Xenopus tropicalis: one gene and its partners. The protein of the gene in region 1 interacts with the protein of each later gene in a pairwise test. Links are inferred from orthologs where the notes say so. Each region holds a gene or a part of one and is shown on either strand. Other genes may lie near its edges.

Evidence for each region.
Region 2: the proteins of trim63 (region 1) and myot interact in a two-hybrid assay, tested with the Homo sapiens proteins (2 studies listed by BioGRID). The link is inferred for Xenopus tropicalis from reciprocal best matches to the Homo sapiens genes TRIM63 and MYOT.
Region 3: the proteins of trim63 (region 1) and usp13 interact in a two-hybrid assay, tested with the Homo sapiens proteins (2 studies listed by BioGRID and IntAct). The link is inferred for Xenopus tropicalis from reciprocal best matches to the Homo sapiens genes TRIM63 and USP13.
Region 4: the proteins of trim63 (region 1) and myoz1 interact in a two-hybrid assay, tested with the Homo sapiens proteins (2 studies listed by BioGRID and IntAct). The link is inferred for Xenopus tropicalis from reciprocal best matches to the Homo sapiens genes TRIM63 and MYOZ1.
Region 5: the proteins of trim63 (region 1) and tnni2 interact in a two-hybrid assay, tested with the Homo sapiens proteins (2 studies listed by BioGRID and IntAct). The link is inferred for Xenopus tropicalis from reciprocal best matches to the Homo sapiens genes TRIM63 and TNNI2.

What each region holds. Positions count from the first base shown.
Region 1 is NC_030678.2:76,885,029-76,889,191, forward strand, and holds the start of trim63 (E3 ubiquitin-protein ligase TRIM63), read right to left. Parts: upstream 2,805-4,163; 5' UTR 2,757-2,804; coding exon 2,598-2,756; intron 2,176-2,597; coding exon 2,012-2,175; intron 1,895-2,011; coding exon 1,726-1,894; intron 865-1,725; coding exon 769-864; intron 301-768; coding exon 67-300; intron 1-66. UniProt on the Homo sapiens protein: E3 ubiquitin ligase. Mediates the ubiquitination and subsequent proteasomal degradation of CKM, GMEB1 and HIBADH.
Region 2 is NC_030679.2:31,483,237-31,487,230, forward strand, and holds the start of myot (myotilin), read right to left. Parts: upstream 2,810-3,994; 5' UTR 2,463-2,809; intron 475-2,462; 5' UTR 367-474; coding exon 1-366. UniProt on the Homo sapiens protein: Component of a complex of multiple actin cross-linking proteins. Involved in the control of myofibril assembly and stability at the Z lines in muscle cells.
Region 3 is NC_030681.2:108,723,922-108,727,435, forward strand, and holds part of usp13 (ubiquitin carboxyl-terminal hydrolase 13), read right to left. Parts: intron 2,752-3,514; coding exon 2,657-2,751; intron 2,425-2,656; coding exon 2,237-2,424; intron 1-2,236. UniProt on the Homo sapiens protein: Deubiquitinase that mediates deubiquitination of target proteins such as BECN1, MITF, SKP2 and USP10 and is involved in various processes such as autophagy, endoplasmic reticulum-associated degradation (ERAD), cell cycle progression or DNA damage response.
Region 4 is NC_030683.2:44,138,246-44,142,549, forward strand, and holds the start of myoz1 (myozenin-1), read right to left. Parts: upstream 2,807-4,304; 5' UTR 2,655-2,806; intron 1-2,654. UniProt on the Homo sapiens protein: Myozenins may serve as intracellular binding proteins involved in linking Z-disk proteins such as alpha-actinin, gamma-filamin, TCAP/telethonin, LDB3/ZASP and localizing calcineurin signaling to the sarcomere.
Region 5 is NC_030680.2:21,783,818-21,787,870, reverse strand, and holds the start of tnni2 (troponin I, fast skeletal muscle), read right to left. Parts: upstream 2,809-4,053; 5' UTR 2,762-2,808; intron 681-2,761; exon of another isoform or gene 587-680; intron 475-586; 5' UTR 455-474; coding exon 444-454; intron 1-443. UniProt on the Homo sapiens protein: Troponin I is the inhibitory subunit of troponin, the thin filament regulatory complex which confers calcium-sensitivity to striated muscle actomyosin ATPase activity.

The DNA of each region.
Region 1 (4,163 bases):
TTTTTTTTACTCGTCTTTATAAATATGCATGTAGAGGCATTTATGTTGGAAGTCCCAGTAAATTACCAGAAGAAAGTTAGCAGGTCCAGGCTGTTCCATAGCCTGAAAAGCATTCTGTAGCACATTGGATGAGGACTGGAGCTGTTCCTGATACCGTACAATGAGAGAACGCACAAAGTTCAACTTCTCTTCCTCAGCTTGTGAAATCCGCTGTACCAGATGAGTCTTTTTCTCCTCCAGGTTCCTGAAAAGTGTCTCAAACATCTCTTTCACAGACTCCTTTTTACTCTGACTGTTCTCCTAAATGGGATGATTAAAGAAAGAACAGTCAAACTCACTAATCTCTGTAAGTGATCAGTAACAACCCTCAAACACCTCTTAGGCAAGTAAGTCGGATTTATGGTTTCCTTTGATGTTACTTTGGAGCAAACATATACTACACTAAACTGTATTCTGGATAGACAGCCCTTATTATTATTAACATGTATTCCGCAGAACTGTACAAAAATGGGTGTATAAATTAAACATACAGATACATACAATGCAACCAATAACCAATACAAGAGGTGAAAAAGGGGCCTACCTGACTGATAACTGGTTGGGTATTGGCCAGATATCCAATAGGCTGGGTAAAAAATACTATTCACATCCACTGTACATTGCTCATTTAACTTGTATCAGCTATATAGATTGATCTGTATGTGTAGGAAACTCCAGGATTCATGCACTGCTGTCTCCATGTAAAGTAAAGTTCTTGAAATTTCTCACCTGTATAGTTTTGCATGATTCTTCCAGCTGGCTAAGAATACACTGAATTCTATCATTACCCGCTACCAGCATCGATATGCAGCTATTCAGTTCTGTCTGTAAGAATAGAGATAGCAAAGAAAAAATAAAAATGTGTTATAATTAAGGGAGTTAAAAATTGATGTATATTAGTAGTGAAATAAAAAGCCAGAAAGCATAACTAAAGGCACAATATGCCTAAAAAAACAGGTCCAATAAATAAATATACTATATATAAATATAGTATATACGTTGATGAGCTGGCACTGCAAATAAAAGGGCTAAATGAATAATATAGAAGATACTATTTTTTTTTTCAACAAAAAATGTGGTGAGAACATTGGGAGCTGAAACTTATTAAATGTATGTAAATTAACACTTAGATTAGAAATGATAAAGCTGAATATCCTTTAATAGTGGTCAGGTCAAATGACCCTCTTCAACCTGCTCTTCCTTCACACCCCCACACAGCTGTGACACTACACTGCAGCCTCAACTCTTTCTAAATATATCAGCTGACTTGACTATGCTGTATCTATAAATAAGAAGTAAAAAGCTACCAAGAGACTCAGGACTATGTGGGACCTTGAAAAATTAACTATGCAACACTTTTAATGTTGTTTGTGTGACTGGTTGTGCTGCTACAGGCCAGTCAATAAAGCAAGCACTATGCATATGCTTAGATAGATAATAGATAGCAGTTTGCAACTGTTTGTGTGATTCTGTCCTTTTTAATATAATGTATATTAAGTCTTAGTGGTGGTTAGTTTGTCCATGTAGTTACTGTGTGTCATCATAAACACTAAATAAGCCATTGCATGAAGTGATTGTGATACCCTGCTGTGTGTTCACTTGCTTCCGCCAGGGTGGCTGATATTATGGTTATGGCAAATGGTGTAACCCTAGTTTGCATGAAGTTGCTTCTTGTGTTTCTCTCACCTTCTGACTCTGATACACGTTCTGGAGGGGAGACACATCACAGTCTTTATGAACTCCAAACACTTTGCACATAGAGCATGTTGCTACCTGGCAGCTGAGGCAATATATATTTATTTTTTCATCTTCATGTTTCTCACACATTGGATGGTTTTCCTTCTTTTCAGGCCGACTGAGTAGTGGGAAAGACACAGAGAGAGTGATTTTGTAGTAACTAGCATAGATTATCTACCACTGTGTCCACAATAACAGATTCTACAGCACTAATTATTGCCTATTTTTTTCTTACCTAGTACAGTCTTGTTTGTAGATATCTATTATATTTTCTACCAGCAGGTTTCTCTGGAGACCGTATACTCCATGACGATCTAAGATAACTTCATGACGACAGGTTGGGCAGCGGAATCGCCCTCCAGATACTGAACTCCTTGTAGACCAATATGGGTTACCAGCCTAAAATCAAAAACTGAAGCGTTATTATATCCACATATCTTAAAGAACGAAAATGTTATCCACATATAAGTGTTTGCAACTGTAACATTATTTATAAATACTGATGGCTAATATAGCATTTGATTTCTAATGCATATTATATTTGAACCACTCTGTATAATGGTTGTGAAAAAAGAGTAACAGACAGAGACAGAGATTATTTTAGGAATGACTTCCCCAAACAAATGATGCATATACTTGATGGTAACCGGAAGTTACAGATAAAGGCAACAGGCCACATAAAAAGCATTATATGAGCATGCAGGAAAATAAAGCATAATATAACATAATAATGTATAATAGCAACTAGGCTGTTTCACAAAAGAGTGGGCTAATGCATACATTAAAAGCTGGTTACTCTTCACCAGAGAAGTTCTTCTCACCTGGAACACATCATTGGCACACTTTCTACACAAGTTGTGCTGGCATGGTAGTATTACCACAGGCTTGTTGAACATTTCCAGACAAATAGGGCAGATTAACTGCTTTTCAAGACTATCCATGGGATTATTCTCCCGGATAATTTCTGAATTGTAATCCATTTTGACAAATTATCTTCTTTATTTTCAGTCGTAGCTTTTAGGTCTCTCCTCTTGTGTCCTTAGTGTGACTTTATTTAACAGTCCTCGGTGCGAATCTTTTCTTTCCAGTCAAGTAGTGTTTCTTGTTCCAAGATTAGCTCCTGATTTCTGTGCAGACCCTCCTATATATAGTCTGTATGCTGGTCACATGCAGATGGTGGGGACGGACATCTCACATTCCTATGTCTGTACTGTGGGTTCAGATTTCCTGCAGTCCCTGAAAGTTTGCAAAGCTATCACATGAAGTAGTGAGTAATCTAAGGGAACCTTTTCTGTAAACAGGATAACAGGAGGATCCCTTTATGAGTGGAGTTATTTTGTTATTTATGGACTCAGGAACAACATGCTAACAAATGCAATATTCAGAGAAAGTAATTCAAGTCAATCCATCTGTGCCACTTCAACACATTTTCTGTTACGACTGCTTACACTGCACCATTGTCAAATTTATAGCCCATAAACCAAATAAAATATGCTGCCCAGAAACAATATAGATTTCTTTGTATAAAGTTATCATCACTTCAAAACACTCCAGCCGATAGAGATGCTGTATAATTAGCCTCTATAGTTCTGCCATCCTGAACAATTTTAATTTTCTTGATACACTGGAATATATCTTGCTAATTAAACATGCATATCTTATTTTAGTGGCCATTTTCTAGATGATTCTCTTTTATATTTTTTTACTGTAGGTCTCTAAATCCTCCATATGTATGCTATTATTGCTTCTTTCAGTAATACTGTTTTTCTAATATTGCTGATGCTTTATTTCACTGTAAAGGCATAAATAAAGCTGTTTCCTTTTTTCTTCTGTCACTGAAAATACTAAACCTCTCAGACTGTATCCTTTGTATGTATTATTTTACATTTTGTTCTGGTTAAACCATCTAAATGCCATGTCTATTCATCATTTATAGTATTATGGATTAATGTTTTCTAGGAATGAATGCAGGACTCAGCTGAATCCCATCACTTTTTGCATTATTCAGATTTGGGCAAATCCTTTGTTCTTAAGTTTAACTAGATCTGCCACAGATAATAGATTTTAAGACCTTTAAGGGCTTTTGGGTGCAGAAGCAGATCAAATGTTGCTTTTTTGCTTCACCCCAAGCAATGAGCAAAGTAGGGAATAAGTGACTGCTTGGTGGAGTGGTGGATCTGGGGTATTGACCACTGATGTTAATCTGAAATAATTATTTTCTTGCTTGAATTTGTAATTGCAAATGCAAATAAATTAGTTGAATTCAATGGTAAGGCAAAATTTGCTCATTCCTGTTCCTTGCATTCATATTTATGACGGTTTATCTTTGAACCAAAGGATATGTGGGATATGCTGGGTTTTTTTTGCCAGGTGATACTGAGTTGGGG
Region 2 (3,994 bases), on another chromosome or scaffold:
TTTACTTTGACTCTTGGAAGGTGAAATTGCTAGAAATGCAGTGGATGTATTTTTGCTCTGATCATTTTCTTGTCCAGATAATGCAATGTTTGAAGACTGGGGCTGTAAATGAACTTCTGTTTTACTACACTTTGATGGTGCAACCGGTGCTGCAGAGCTCATGTTATATGATGAGCATGGCTGAGGCTGAATTGAAATAGAAATTTTCTTAGGTGACCTGCTTGTATGTACAGCTTCATTGGTAGACTGAGACGTGGATTCCACTTGACATTTCGGTTTTGATTGTATAAAATGTTTAGGGCGCTCATAATTAAATGTTGTTGGTTGATACATTGCAGAAACAGATGGCAGGGACGAGAGGTCCATATTTTCAGACACTTGCCGTTGACCCTTAAGGTACAGGTTATTGGTTTGCCAATGTTGTATGCTGGGAAATAATCCACATTGGTACCTTTTTTCTTGAAGAGATCACTCCTGAAATAAAATGATAAATTAATACATTCATTCTTCATTATATATATAAGATGCTTTATCTATCATTTATAAAGAATAAAGTAATGTACTGTAACTAGTAATATTACTCTAACTATGTTTAATGTAACAATGTCATATTGTGTATTGAGGCAAAAAAAAGACACATCCACGTTCAAACCCTCTTTTTACTGTTGAGACGTTTAGTCCGTGATGGTTCTTGGGGGTTTGCCTGGCACGTTTTTCCTCTGTTAAAATCACTCCCTATCACATCCCATTGTGTTAACATTCAAGATTAGATATTAGGACAAGAGAAAGGGGGACCCTGTCCCATAGAGTTTAAAAACTTATATTTAAGAGTACTTTGCACACTGGACCCCCCACAATGACAACTGACTAGTCTGTAACTATCTAGCTTATTTATCAGTTTTCAAATGTATGCTTATTTATTAAAAAATCCAAATATAAAAATGTGATTGAATAAAATTGATTTTAAAAAACTAGAATACCTAGAATTTGTGAGTTTACAATCTCAAAAAAAACTCAAAAATCTTGAATTGAAAAGAAAAGGCCTTGAATTTGTTTTTTGCACTTAATAGATATCGAACATATGAGTTCTGGAACCATAGTTGGAATATTAGGAATGTTAGGGCAAAAAAAATTTAATCAAGGAAAAAAATTCAAATTCTAACTACAGATCTTCGGGGGTACACCTTTGGCCTACGTCACACATTGCATTTTCTGTACTGTTTTTTCTATAGCCTTTTTATTCTGGCTCTTTACAGCTTGAAGATAAAAATGCTTGCAAACTGCTCAACAAAAAAAAACAAAAAATGAAACAGAATACAAATATTTCTTGCTTACAAACAACTACAGAAAATGTGTCATGGAATAATAGAGTACCTTGTTTACTTTAAAGTCCTAACTGATGTAACTACAGGCTTCATGAAGATTCACATTTGCTGCAATTCTTACTATGTTATCTCCCTGAAAACTACTAGCACGACTACTTGCCAAAATGTATATGGTTGCCATACACATGAGACTAGGTTCTTCCTTGATTAATGAACAGACATTAAAATCTGACAAGTATAATAAAGCACCATTTGCATAAATATAATAGATAGATAGATAGATATTAAAAACAGAAAAGCTTGCCTAACACAATATTAAATAATTGCAGTTTTCAATTTACTCCCCTTTGCAAAAACACACAAAAAGTCCCTAGCTGTGACTTTAAATAATAACATAATAATAAACAAAAGAGAACACTGTCTTTAAAAAAAATGTAAAGATTAAAGGAGAAGGAAAGGCTAATAAAGAGTTAATCTCAAGCTGCAGGCATACCTTCAGTTCTCTCAATAGTGCCCTTAAGTCTCCCCATATTTCTCCCATTCAGATGATCAGAAGCCTCATAGGAAAAAAAAACGCTGAGCTGTGTAAAGAAAATTCCCATAATGCCATACTCCTGCACCAAGACCAGTATACATGCACAGTTTGTAAGACTATGAGGAAGCTTCCTGCTGATTGGCTCAGATCACATATTCCTAAGGGGGGGAGGGAGTTCTTAGCATTCTTATAGGAGGGGGGAGCAGGAGAGGGAAGAGAGGAGAGAGCTGTGCAGACTCTGGCACAGGAAAACAAAGAGACAAGAAATCTTGTGTTTCTTTTGAAAGAGGACTCAGTGCAGCGTTTCTGTGAGTGCTTATGGCTGTATCTACATAGACCTATCTGATAAAGCTTACTTAGTTTTTACCTTTCCTTCTCCTTTAAAACAAATGTTGTTGAAAACATACAATAAAAAAAAAGTTATTTAAGCATACCAAAAAAATTAAGATTGAGATTGGTGGTCCAATTAAAAAAACCTATTAAGTGGTTTTGGGATTTAGTAATGCAGAAAACTTAACATAATATAATATTTTCCTCTCTGAAAAAAAGAAAAGACTTTTAACAGCAAACATAAAGCACCAGCTCTGCTGAAATATACCCACCAGCACTTAAATGGCTTAACTCATTTCTCAGCTCCCTTTTGCCTGGCATGGTGCAAATGGGTTGTAAATCAAAGGAATTCCAATGTTCAAAATGGTTGTACAGTTCCAACCTGACATTTATAGTTCCCATAACTTGTATATCTGTATATTTGCTGCAAAATTACATACAGGATTAGATTATGTAGAATAAAATAAAGAGTAAATGGCTTTGTGAGTGATAGATCTTGTCAAACAAACTTGCTTATTACATGAAATAAAGAGAAAGCTGTTTCAGCGTACATGGTGTTAGATTTCAGAGAAGCTTTTAAAGCAGATGCACATAAGCAACTGCTCTAATAAACTAGTCTCTTGATCTTCTAAACACTCAGCCTATTAGAGCACAGGTTGTTGTTAATGGTACATGCTCTAAACCAGTGATCCCCAACCAGTGGCTCGTGAGCTACATGCTGCTCCCCAACCCTTTGGATGTTGCTCCCAGTGACTTCAAAGCAGGTGCTTATTTTTGAATTACTGGTTAGGAGGCAAGTTTTGATTGCATAAAAACCCAGTGTAATTGCCAAACCGAGCCTTTTGTAGACTTCCAGTCATCATAAGGGCTATAATGATTGTGTTGCTTTCCAAAACTTTCTCCATTTGAATGTGGTTCACGGAAATAAAAGGCTGGGCATCCCTGCTCTAAAGTGACTAGATTCCTAAATCTAGAGAGTGCTGTAGAAGCTAGAGCTAGCAAAATGTTGCTTTGTATTAAACGTAATGTAGCCTCTCTGTCCCCACTGGCATCATCGTAAGTCAATAAGGACTTGATTGCTAATGTGCAGCGTCACAGTTTGGTGCAAAGTTTGGACATTTAAACCTCCGAATTCATCAATATCCTTGCCTGATTGTAGATACACATTTCCTGTCCCCAAGAAGGTTGTTTCTGCAGGATATCTGTTGTTTGCCTTTGGCTTGTTTCCTGACCTTGTATTCTAAATTGCCTTGACCCGTCTCTGGACTTGGACTTGATCTCATTAGTTACCTTACCTTTGGTCTTTGTCTTTATTGCCACTTCCAGTACTTGCAGAACTTTCCTTACCACTATGAGCCCCAACCTTGCCACTTTGACTAATAGCTACCATGCCTGTCCTACCTGTACCAAAATAAAGAACAAATCGTTTTCTACTCGTACCTAGTATTACTATTGACAGGTCTGTCTGTTCTCCAGTACCTGCTTCCTCTTACCTCCTTACTTAACCTCCCCTATAAGCCATTTGCTCATGCAACAAGATCAAATCCTCCTGAAGACCATCAACCCTGACACACAAGAGGAGAACATTATTCTGCCTCTTTATAAAGTGGTGTGTATTAGTAGTTGGCTGGAGTACCTAGCTTTATATCAAAGTATTTCAAATTATGATAAATATTCAATAGGTTTCCTAACTAAACTGTGGAATTGTTAAAACATATTTATAGAATTGTTTTAATATAGTCTTTCCCTCTTCGTGTATCAGTATCAACCAAAACAATCAAATATTATGCATGTTAATGTACAA
Region 3 (3,514 bases), on another chromosome or scaffold:
CAAATTGTCGCGACTTTTTCCTAGCGGTCGCGCCGAGTACGAAAGTTTCAGATTCATTCAAGCTTCAGTATTGTGACTTTCCTTGGGCCAGGTTGGAGCTGCAGAGTGCCATTGAGCCCTATGGGAGACTTTCCTTGGGCCAGGTTGGAGCTGCAGAGTGCCATTGAGTCCTATGGGAGGCTTCCAAAATCATGCAAAGTCTGAAAGGTTTGCCCGCCGTTTACGAACGCTCAATACGAAAAAGTCGCGACAATATACGAGCAAGTCGTAACGGCTATGAAAAAGTTGCGACAATTCGCGCAAATCGTAACGGCTACGAAAAAGTCGCAACAATTTATGAAAAAGTCGTGACGGCGACGGAAAAAACACAAAAAATACGAAAAAGTCGCAAAATGTTCGTTTCCAATCCGATTTTTTCCCGTTCGGGATTCGGATTCGTGGATTAGTAAATCAGCCCCATAGAATTGAGTAATGTCCATGGTATAGGCATAAAAGGCAAATGGTTGTGTGAGCAAGAGGGCCACCTGACACATGGGCCTACCGGGAGTTTTCCTGGTATCTTGGTGGGCCAGTCCCACACTGTTGCAGAGAGGGTGGAAAGAGTGGTATTCTATTGCATACATCTATACATGCTGCCAAATTATTCTTTCTGGGTCTATTTGCTCATATTAGGTCTCCCTGATCTGGGAGAAATGAACAGAACACAAATGAAAACACTTCCACTACTAGATATTTTCTACCTTATTTTTGCTTGCATGTGTTTACCATAATGCATTAATGTTTGTAATCCTGGAATAGTTAGATGGTTTACAGAAGAGGTACCTGAAATTAGCATGCAAAAATATATTTAAATATTACCAGGGCACAGCCATTTTTTTAGATTTCCATCTGGAGTGTGAAAACAGATTAAGGGGCACATTTACTAACCCACGAATCCGAATTGGAAAAATTCCGATTGGAAAACGAAAATTTTGTGACTTTTTCGTATTTTTTGCGATTTTTTCGGCGCCTTTACGACTTTTCGGAAATTGTCGCGACTTTTTCGTTACCAATACGATTTTTTTCGTATCCATTATGATTCGCTCGTATCTTGACGCGACTTTTTCGTATTGAGCGCTCATAAGCGGCGGGCGAAACTTTCAGACTTAGCATGATTTTGGAAACCTCCCATAGGACTCAATGGCACCCTGCAGCTCCAACCTGGCCCAAGAAAAGTCACCATACTGAAGCTTGAATGAATCCGAGCGCTACGAAAAAAATCGCAACATTTTGCGCAACTTTCGGAATGGCTACGAAAAAGGCGAGAAAAGTTTTAACGCTCCGAAAAAAACAGTAGCTTGTACTTGATCCCAGCTGAGACATAATAAATCCTTATTGGAGGCAAAACAAGCCTATTGGGTTTATTAATTATTTAAATGATTTTTAGCAGACTTAAATTGTTGAGATCCAAATTACGGAAAGATCCCTTATACGGAAAACCCCAGGTCCCGAGCATTCTAGATAACAGGTCCCATACCTGTATGTCATTTTTGGTCTATAATCCAAAATGCCACATCACATATTTATATCTATGACCACAGATTTAGTGATGTGCATCAGCCCTAACCTGCCTGCTCCTAACCCAACCCGGGAATACACCTCTATTTTGACTTGTGTCTGACCTGCCCCATCTCTGTGTCATGAAGGGGGCGGTGCAAGCGCACACCTATAAACAGAGGCTATCATAGGCAGAAATGGGGTACAGTAAGGACACAGGCAGGGCAAAAGGAAGCCTGAACCCACCTACAATCCACAAATCTTTTGCTAATGTTGGCCAAACCCACCCGACTTGTGGGTTTCAGGCTGGTCTGCACACCACTACATAGAATTAATTCCATGAATTATGGTTTGAATAGGAAGACTGACATTTACAGATTTCAGACTAAACTAAAGAATGCACCATCTAAAACGGATAGACCTGCACATCAATCAAAGAAGACCTGTTTAAAATACCAGTCAGATCTCCACTAAACTCTAGAGACAAATTGGTTTGCTTGTTGCATTAATTTGCAATTTTATGTACAGGCTATAGAATGCTCCTTAGTTTAAAAAATTAAAGGATCATAACATGGGTTGACACGTGGAATTCTAATCTAGAGAAAAACCACATGCTCTCAGCTGTACTGTAGTGGTCACCTTTGTAATGACATATGAAACAAAAAATACAAAGAGTTCCAATACATTCAAGGATACTCACGCTCTCTGAAACTCAGGGATGCTAAAGATGACTTGCATCACTGTAGTGAGGTAGGAGCTGTTCCCAAGGTTTTTAATGCCAGTGTAGCCAGAGCCAAACATTGGCTTTAACTTTAATCCAGTTTCTTGGATAACCTCCCACTCATTAACTCTTGGTTTGACTTCATTGTCCAGGACACCATTCTCACTCTAAAAGAGAGCCAATAAGCATCATGTCAACAAGAAAACGCCGAGAGGTCATAATCACTAAATAGGGATCATGTCTTTACAATTGCTATTTATTTATAAGCATCATGGTGCTTAGATGAGATACCTCCTAATACAGACTGGTTATGCTACTATACAGTAATGCATTAAACTGTGCTTTGTAAAAGACCTCTATAAACATAAGGATGATCATTATTAGTAAGAAAACACGTACTCCCTGCATCTGCAGCATATCAATGCCAAAGTGCGCAAGGTGCTTGGCCAGGTGGGGATCTATAACTGCTTCCTCTTCATCAAAGGAATACACATCTGCAATGACCAAACGATAGTGCGCAATTAGATATATTTATTAATATTTGCATAGATGGGGTCATCAGCAAAGCATATTTTAAATTTACATGATCATCTCTCCAATAGCGTATTGCAGGTATAGAACCTATTATCCAGAATGCTCAGGACCTGGGGATTTCTGGATATGGGGTCTTTCCATAATTCAGATCTCCTACCTTAAGTCCACTAAAAAATATTTAAACAGTAATTAAACCCAATGGGGATCAAGTACAATGTACTGTGTTATTATTACAGAGAAAAGGGAAAACCAATCGGCCAGATCTCGATCGGGCAGGTTTAAAAATCTAGTCGGATCGGGGACCGCATCGGCTCGTTGTTGCGGTCCCCGGACCGACTTTTCCTATGCCCGACATTATAATTTGATCGTTTGGCCCCAGGGCCAAACTATCGAATTAGCCTGGATTCTCCTGATATCGCCCACCCGTAGGTGGGGGATATCGAGAGAAGATACGCTCGCTTGGCGACATCGCCAAGCGGATCTTAAGGTGTATGGGCACCTTAAGACATTCTGTAACATTAACAATTTACATTAACAATTAACTAAGAATGGAGAACTGAATAGTACAATTTACTCTGCAAGATCATGCAAATATTAAATTGGCTAAACAGTAGAAAAAAAGTAGAAACCAAAGTAGAAAATTTGAATGTAAATTTTCTCAATAATGTTGCTGCACTGTTTACTTTTAAAGGACAATGTCATTTTAAAGATAAAGCATTTTTC
Region 4 (4,304 bases), on another chromosome or scaffold:
TTTAGGGTCATTAGGTCTGTATGTGACAGATTCTCTGTATCAACCCTCTTGATTCTTCCTAAACTAAATCAAACATTTGATTTTGTGTCATTTTTAAGAGACCTAATTTACCAGAATTTATCTTTTCTGCTTTTCATCTTCCTCTGCAAATTTTTATTCCTGGAGATGTTAAAAAAGTGAAAATATGCAGAATGATTTGTGTTTATTTGCTTTAATTAACAAGATACAGAAACCGGATAAGTAACTGGATAAGTTGGATAAGTAATTCTTCTCAAATTCCTTGTGTTGTCTGTCTGGCCCTTATCAGACCATATTTTACAAAAAGATGTAGAATCTGTTCCTCTTGTTCTGATGATCTGTGTGTGACATATTATTGGCCAATAGGAAATGATAGGGGGGCACTTCCCTTTAAATTCCTTTGGGCTTAACAATCAGTTAAGCCACCTGATCATATGAGCAAATATGAACTTACTGAATTGCAATCTTTTCATATTTATAACTGTTAATATATTACATGGCAACTCACAACCTGGTGGTAGTTGACTGCTGGGTTGTACTTTGGACCAAAAACAGTTAAAATATGACCCTGGGCCATTTTATTATACCAACCACCTAAGTCTATCCATATTAAATCCTGCACATAGCACAGTGGAAGAATTGTCTGTTCCCAAGGATCTCTATGAGGTAACAGGGCACAGGAGCAGTTTTTACCTCCACACCCCCTGTAGGTTCAGTACATACTGCAACAAACTGCAAAGGCAATTGCCCAAGTCATCTTCATGGCATAGGTTGCTATTAAGAACATAGCAATGATAACCGTAGTAGTACTTATGCTTTAATGCAGGCTCATACCTAAATTTTGAATATACATTCTAATTGCGTTATGCCTGTAGAGCAGTCAGTGATATCTTGGCTAAATGTACTGGAGTCTGGAACTGGAGAAGGTTTTATTATCAGAGACACTTCTTTTGCATTATTACACATTCCCTTTTTGGGATCTCCTATGCCTATTAGCTCAGCTAGTGCAAATAGGACAAACCTAGATACTATTTTTAATCCAAAGTGGTCAATAAAAACGTCATTACTGACACAGGAGTGGTTTAAAATGTCACCAAAAGACTCTGATGGGCTTGCCCTGATGGGTTTTAAATTTACTGGCAAAAAAGTTCTGGATGCCTTCCAAGGGACATAGTAGGTTGCAATCTGACAAACACAAGTTTAATCAAGACCAAAACAGAAAATAAAATACCAGAAATGCTTGAAGAGCACCACTAAAGGGAGATGCAATATGTTCAGCAGTAATTGCAATTCTGTTTAATATTTCAAATTGCAAATATATTTGCAGGTTTCGAAAGTAGGAAATAGAAATGTTTTTTTTAAGGACTATACTCTGTTTCCATAACATATACTGCATATGGGAGTTTTACACCCAGTTTTATTTTTTAATCTGTGCTCTACAGAAAGTGCCAAATGGGTTTGCCCAAGCATGCATACACAATGTACAATAATCACTCTGCCAAGTCTCCAAGGGAGCAGGAAATGTGACACTGGAAGTGTTTGGCCAACACAGCTACCTTAAAAATTAGACTAGATTAGCTGTGATAGTTATGTTAACAGACAAGCTAATCATGATTTTATTCCTAATTCATTTATATTTATCAGACATACAATCAGGTGCCTACAGCGCTGTTCCATTTCTGGAGTCTTTCTAACATTCCAGAAGCAAACAAGACTCAAGTAAGGGGTTTCAAATATTCACAATATACAGTTACATTATATTGGATTTTCTTTTTAAGAGAATCAGCAAGAGTTAAAATAACGATTGTGCTAATTAAATATGAATAGAACAAAAATACCTCTTATCATTTAAGCAAAAGTTAAAAAATGTGCAACATTGTAATGCACTTTTTAAAGACTGAATCTCTGATTTTGACCAACAACCTTGTGCATTCTTTATTTATCTGGGAAAATGTTTCCTGCAAAAAGACTACCAGCAGTGTTAGGGTTAGAATTACAGCAAGGTTACCAGTTTTGCCAGGAATAGTTACACTCCTACTGCTTCTTTGCTCTTTTTTGCCCATGGAGGAATGTAGTCCTTAGAGTAATTGCCTGATATTTTTGAAACTGCTTACTTACTGGAAAAAACTTCACAAACCCCTAGTTTGTATCAGGACATATATATATATATAAGTTTAATCATTTCGGAAATCTCAGATAGTAATAACAAGGAGGAAAAAGAAAAAAAAGGTGGGTCTAAGTAGTCCTTTATCAGTTTACCCTACAAACTTAAAATGTTTTACAAATGTATATATTGCTATTTCCACAAAAAAATAACCAGAACTTCAGCAGGTCGTTAAAAGTTCTAGGTAGTCAGCAGAGAGAAAGCCTATTAAAACAGTCTAAGCAGATCTCACGTTACCCAGAAAGCATTTGGCTGCAGTCTACACACATCTCATACCCAAGAATATGACTTTGCAGTGTCAGCAGTATTCACTGCCCGCATCTTCAGTTTCAGCTTGTGAACTTTAGTGCCCAAAAGAATTTTTCTAATTATTTGTTTAAAATTGTATTTTTTTAAAGTTCCAATACCTTTAAAGATAATTGGCTATTCTCTAGTTACTCATAAGACCCGAATTGATTATTGATGTGCTTACTTTTTCGCAGGAACTGGAGATCAGCTAAAGGAGGAGAGATGGGAGCTTCTTTGATGTTATAATTGTAAACGTCCTCTTGCGGATTCTTTCCTTTTTATTAATTTGGCTCCCTTGTGTCTTGTCTCTCAGAGGGCAGCAACAAGAAGGACGTGTATCCGGGGTATCTGCACAGCTCAAAGTGCTGATGCAGAGTGCAGTACATTTGACTCTTGGATGTTGCTGTGGCATCCTGAAGTTTATTAATAGTAAAAGGAGTAAGGGGGATCTCAGATAGCAATAGCACGGAGGAAAGAGAAAAAAAGGTGGGTCTCAGCAGTCCTGATGTCCATCTCAGCACAGAGTGAAAAAGAAATACAGTCAGCGAGGAATATTTCACTATTATATGCAATTAAAAAGACTGAGGGTGATTTTATCTTCATCCTTTTCATCCTGACATGTTGCACATTGAATACTAATGTAAATATTAGATTTGGTTTATTGAGGCAAGGCTTGTTCTCAGCCCCATTTGGAAAAAAGGGTTACATTTACAGTCACAAGGTACAGTGCTAAAATGGTCTCAGAACTACGCCCATATAATTGCCAAATGTAATTCTATTCTAGTGCCACACACCACTTTGGTAGTTGCTCCACTGGTGTATAAAGCACAAGATGTGGGCACACAACGGGCATGTTCAGCTTTAACTAAAGCCACACAAGCACGCACAAAGTTCTTTGGGAAAGGACAGTGATTGGCTATTTGGCAGCCCCATGTGGACTGCTGGTCTGCAGGAGGCTCTGCTTGGAGTAAAAGTTTGTCTCTATATTTCTAAAACTTGTTTCCAAGCCAGAAATGTAAAAATGGGCACCTACTTTGAGGCAACTGGGAGCAACATCAAAAGGGTGGTGAACCACTGATTGTGGATCACTGGTCTAGTCATTTATTAAAAGATCCGGATATAAAAAGCACAATTAAATTAAAATGTGGAACAAAAATGAAAAGAACAAGACAACCTAAAATGTTTCATTTTTGGAAGAATTTTTGTGCGCTTGAAAATAATAAAGCCCCATAAACCTCTAAAACCACGAATAAATACATATTGTTACTTGTAATTTGCCCATTGACTTCTACTTGGCCTCAGCTGCTAGTAGTTGGCATAGTTTTGAATTTTTTACTGGTTTTTTTTCATTAGTTATTACTAAAATATCACGGAAAACCACAATTTGTCAAATGCAAAATATATGAATGTTATTAAATATGCACAGTGTATATGTATACACACCTCCTATATATATACATATACTGTATGTGTGTGTGTGTGTGTGTTTGTGTGTGTGTAGTTCTCTGTACAGCTAAAATATTTAAAAACATCAGAAGCTGCTTCTGTATCTGTGTTATTTAACATGCGTCACCTCATTCTGAAAATGAGTGTTACCAACACTGCTGCTATACGGACCCAGTCATTATTAAGAACCTGAAAATAAATGTTTAGTATTTTTAGTTCATTAAATAGGGCCCAAGATGTCCAGAACTTTGCTACTATTAAGATACATCTTTGATAACACATTTGGAAATGGACGTGCCACTGTTTTCAACAGATGTAAGAAACCACACAAGCCTAGTTATAGATCTGAGGGATAATTTACTACCATCAGGACAGTGCAGAATTGTTC
Region 5 (4,053 bases), on another chromosome or scaffold:
TAGTAGGTTAATAGAGACAGATATATGCCTGATAGATAGAAGACAGACAGATAGATAGATAGATAGATAGATAGATAGATAGACAGATAGATAGATAGATAGATAGATAGAAGATAGACAGATAGATAGATAGATAGATAGATAGATAGATTAGATAGATAGGTGATAGATAGATAGATTGATAGATTATAGACAGATAGATAGATAGATGATAGATAGATAGATAGATAGATAGATAGATAGATAGATAGATAGATAGATAGATAGATAGATTAGATAGATAGATAGATAGATAGATAGATAGATAGATAGATAGATAGATTATAGACAGATAGATAGATAGATAGACAGATAGATTAGAAAGAATAAGACAGATACTAGTCAGATATAATATAGAGACAGACAGAGAGAACATGGTTTGACCCAAAGAGGTTTTTACTCACTCTTCACCCATCTTGGCGGTTTCTGTGATACCTGAGCACAAAACACAAAGACACAAAATTCAGCACATGAAGTCCTGCCCCCCAAGATATAACTCTTTGGCAAAGAATCCCTGTAAGGAACACGCTGAGCCCCGCTCACATACCAGCCTAGGCACAGACTGATGGAAGGATTAGTCTGAAATTCCCCAATGAACTCAGCTCCTTGGATGTCCCTTCCTCTGCCACCGCTGGCCGGCCTCTAAATAGAACCTTGGCAGGGGGAGCAGAGATGGGACACCCCGCCACCCTATTTGAAGTCATCTGATCCCCTTTGGAGATATCAGCAACTTTGCAAGACTTTCCGAAAATATCCCACGGAGCCTTTAAGGCATGACAGCTGTCTCACCCTTTCTCTATGGATCCCTCCTTGCCAGGCCCTTCTAATGAATGAGGTCACAGGTGAAGAAACCTTAGCCATGTGTTCATTCCCTTTCCTCGCATTCATGCGCTGACTCTCAGGGGGTCCCATTTCAGATGCTAAAATAAAAGCCACTCAATGCCCTATAATGCTGAGTAATATTTGCCCCAGATTTACAGCCTGTAGGCTGCGGAATATTATAATAATGCTTGAAACCAAGGTTCTCAATCAGTGGTGGCGGACGCAGGTCATATTTCCAAATATCTCCTTCTTTCAGCACAGGCAACTTGGGCACAAATCCTCCGGAATTAGGAAAATCTCCCAAATCTAGCCTTTCACCGAACCATGGGCTGGGAAGCAATGCCAATTGGGGCAATGAGGGAAAGAGTAGTGGTAAGTCTTTGGGCACAGGCATACATGGTAGAACAATAGGGCTCAGCAGGCCCATAGTTGGGGTTAAAAGAGAGATATATATAATATATATACAGGTATAGGACCCGTTATCCAGAATGCTTGGGACCAAGGGTATTTCTGATAAGGGGTCTTTCCGTAATTTGGATCTCCATACCTTAACTCTACTAAAAAATCAATAAAACAGTAATTAAACCCAATAGGATTGTTTTGCCTCCAATAAGGGGTAATTATATCTTAGTTGGGATCAATTACAAGGTACTGTTTTATTATTACAGAGAAGAAAGAAATCAGTTTTAAAATTCTGAATTATTTGATTAAAATGGAGTCTATGGGAGATGGGCTTTCCATAATTCGGAGCATTCTGGATAACGGGTTTCCGGATAAGGGATCCCATGCCTGTATATATATATATATTTATATAAATATATATAAAAAATATATTGGCAGCTAGTCTGTTGTACCCTACCCTTACTTATTCTACATATATGGTTCCATCTAATACATTTGTATCTATAGGTTCTATCAGGAATATATATATATGTTTCATGCTACAAAAGGGGGTCCTGTAATGAATTAAACATCAGTTCCAAATGGGTGGGTATGGGTTCCATGCACAAAATGGGTCATTGTAAGTGTCTACTACACAACATAACACTTAAAAACAATAACTAAGCAACATTCTATAATGGTACCGAGCATGGAGCAGCCTTGTTGCTCTGTACAGAGACTATGGGGCATGATAATCAAATGCTGAATAGAAATCTATACAAGTGAAGTGTGTTTAAGAGAAAGGGAATCGGTGGAGAATGGTCTGTTAACTCTTTAATTAACAGCCATCCCCTCCCTTCAGGTTAAACTGTAAATGCCGGGAATTCTAAGCAGTTAATACAAATACACAGATAATTTGTTACTTTAAATGTACATTCATACACTCATTAAACTCTGGCAGGGATCTATTACATATAATTGTTATTAATGACTATAAAATAATGATTTTTCCCCAACATACTATATCTATATATGTGGAACCGAGGCTGCTGAAAGCACGTAGATAAAATTGTGTGCTTGCCAATATTTGCGCAATACATGAAGTTCACTGGCATCGTTAATATATACAAATTCAATTAAAATTCTCACGATAGGGTCGTGGTGTTAAATCCCCCCTCCCCGGTTGGGTTTTGCTATTGTGAATGGAGGTTGTAATGTAAGTAAATGTTAAATATTAACTCTTGTTTTACAGGGAATTCTGTAGCTTGTTGTTTTAAAGCACAGAGAATGTATGACTGAATAGGTTATAATAAATGTAGGTAATTTATTTATAGTGGGCTGAACAGTGTAATGAATGAGCTAGGGGGATAGGGGGCTTGTGTATAGGCAGAGATCTCGGCTGCAAGTTGCCCAGGCAGGACCCTAATTAATCTCATGCACATACTGTACTGACAGACAGAAATCCATTTATTGTATATACACATGCCTCTGCCTTTGCCCCCCAGGGGCTGTTCCTTACCTGACCCTCGTAGACTGAGCCCTCTCTATGAAGCAGGGGTGGGACTGGCAGCGCTGTGTTGTGAGGGGGGTATTAATGTGCTGGGGGGGTGCCCAGGGGTAAAAGCTGCCTGGCTCAGTAAGGGCATGCAAACAACCTCCGACCAATCACGAGGCGGGTGACACAAATACTTTGACCCTCCCTTGCAGCCCATCTTAAGACTTAACCCTGTATCTGCTGGTGGTCAGCATTGTGAACAGTGGGGCATTCCTTAAATAACATTGGCCCCCAAATGCCTACTGTCATGGCACTGGGAGCATGGTATGGGCAGTGCGCTTAACCTTCTGGGAGGGTCTAGAGATACAAATCTAAAGTAGGAGGCATCTCAGCCACTAAAGGGTTAATGTGCTGTTCTCTGCAGATCCCATTACTTTCCCAAAGCAGATACTTCCCTCTTACTTATCCCCCCCAACCAAAACAGCTAGTACCCTTTTCAATCTCAGCTATGCAACTTATCCCTAGCAGCTTTCTCTTCTAAAAAGGTCCCACCCAATGCACCCTCACACCTGTCTCTCCGCTCCTCCCGCCCCACAGCAGGCTATCTCAGCATTCTCTTCTAATTGTTTGGGGTTTATTCGTCTCTAGCAGACACACAGATAGTCCTCTGGCCTGTAATCCTGCTGGGGGCTAAGGAATTCGCTCACCCAGGGCATTCCTGTATTACTGCCCACATACAGAAAAGCAGCAGGGTGGTGCTGACCTCTACTGGACATGATGCAAAATAGCATTTCATGGGCACCAAGCTGGCACTTTGGACCACACCGGCTCCTCTAGAGCAGGGGTCCCCAACCACCGGTACGGGGACCGGTGCCGGGCCGTGGGCTGTGCTGAAATGGGCCACCACTGCTCCATATTACTTGTGATCCCAACTCCCTGATGCTTTACACAGCCATGACAATAGCTATTCGAAGCCCAGGAAGATTTCTACTGATTACGACAAGGACCAAAGTACTTTATTAAGCTGTATGTAATAATAATATTAATAGTAAAGTGCATAATATAAAATTTAACTAGCACTAGTTGCGCCGCACCCCCCATCCCCGGTCCTTGGACAAATTGTCTTGCTTGAAACCGGTCCGTGGTGCAAAAAAAGTTGGGAACCACTGCTCTAGAGCACACATTCTGGCCCTGTCAGCCTCCCAAAAAGGCATATTAGTCAGTGCTAAGGCACTTGGCGTATTATCTGGGCTTTTTGTCTTGCAATGGCCCCTCCATAGATGCACACTGCCACCCATACCCAGCCACTCCCTTGT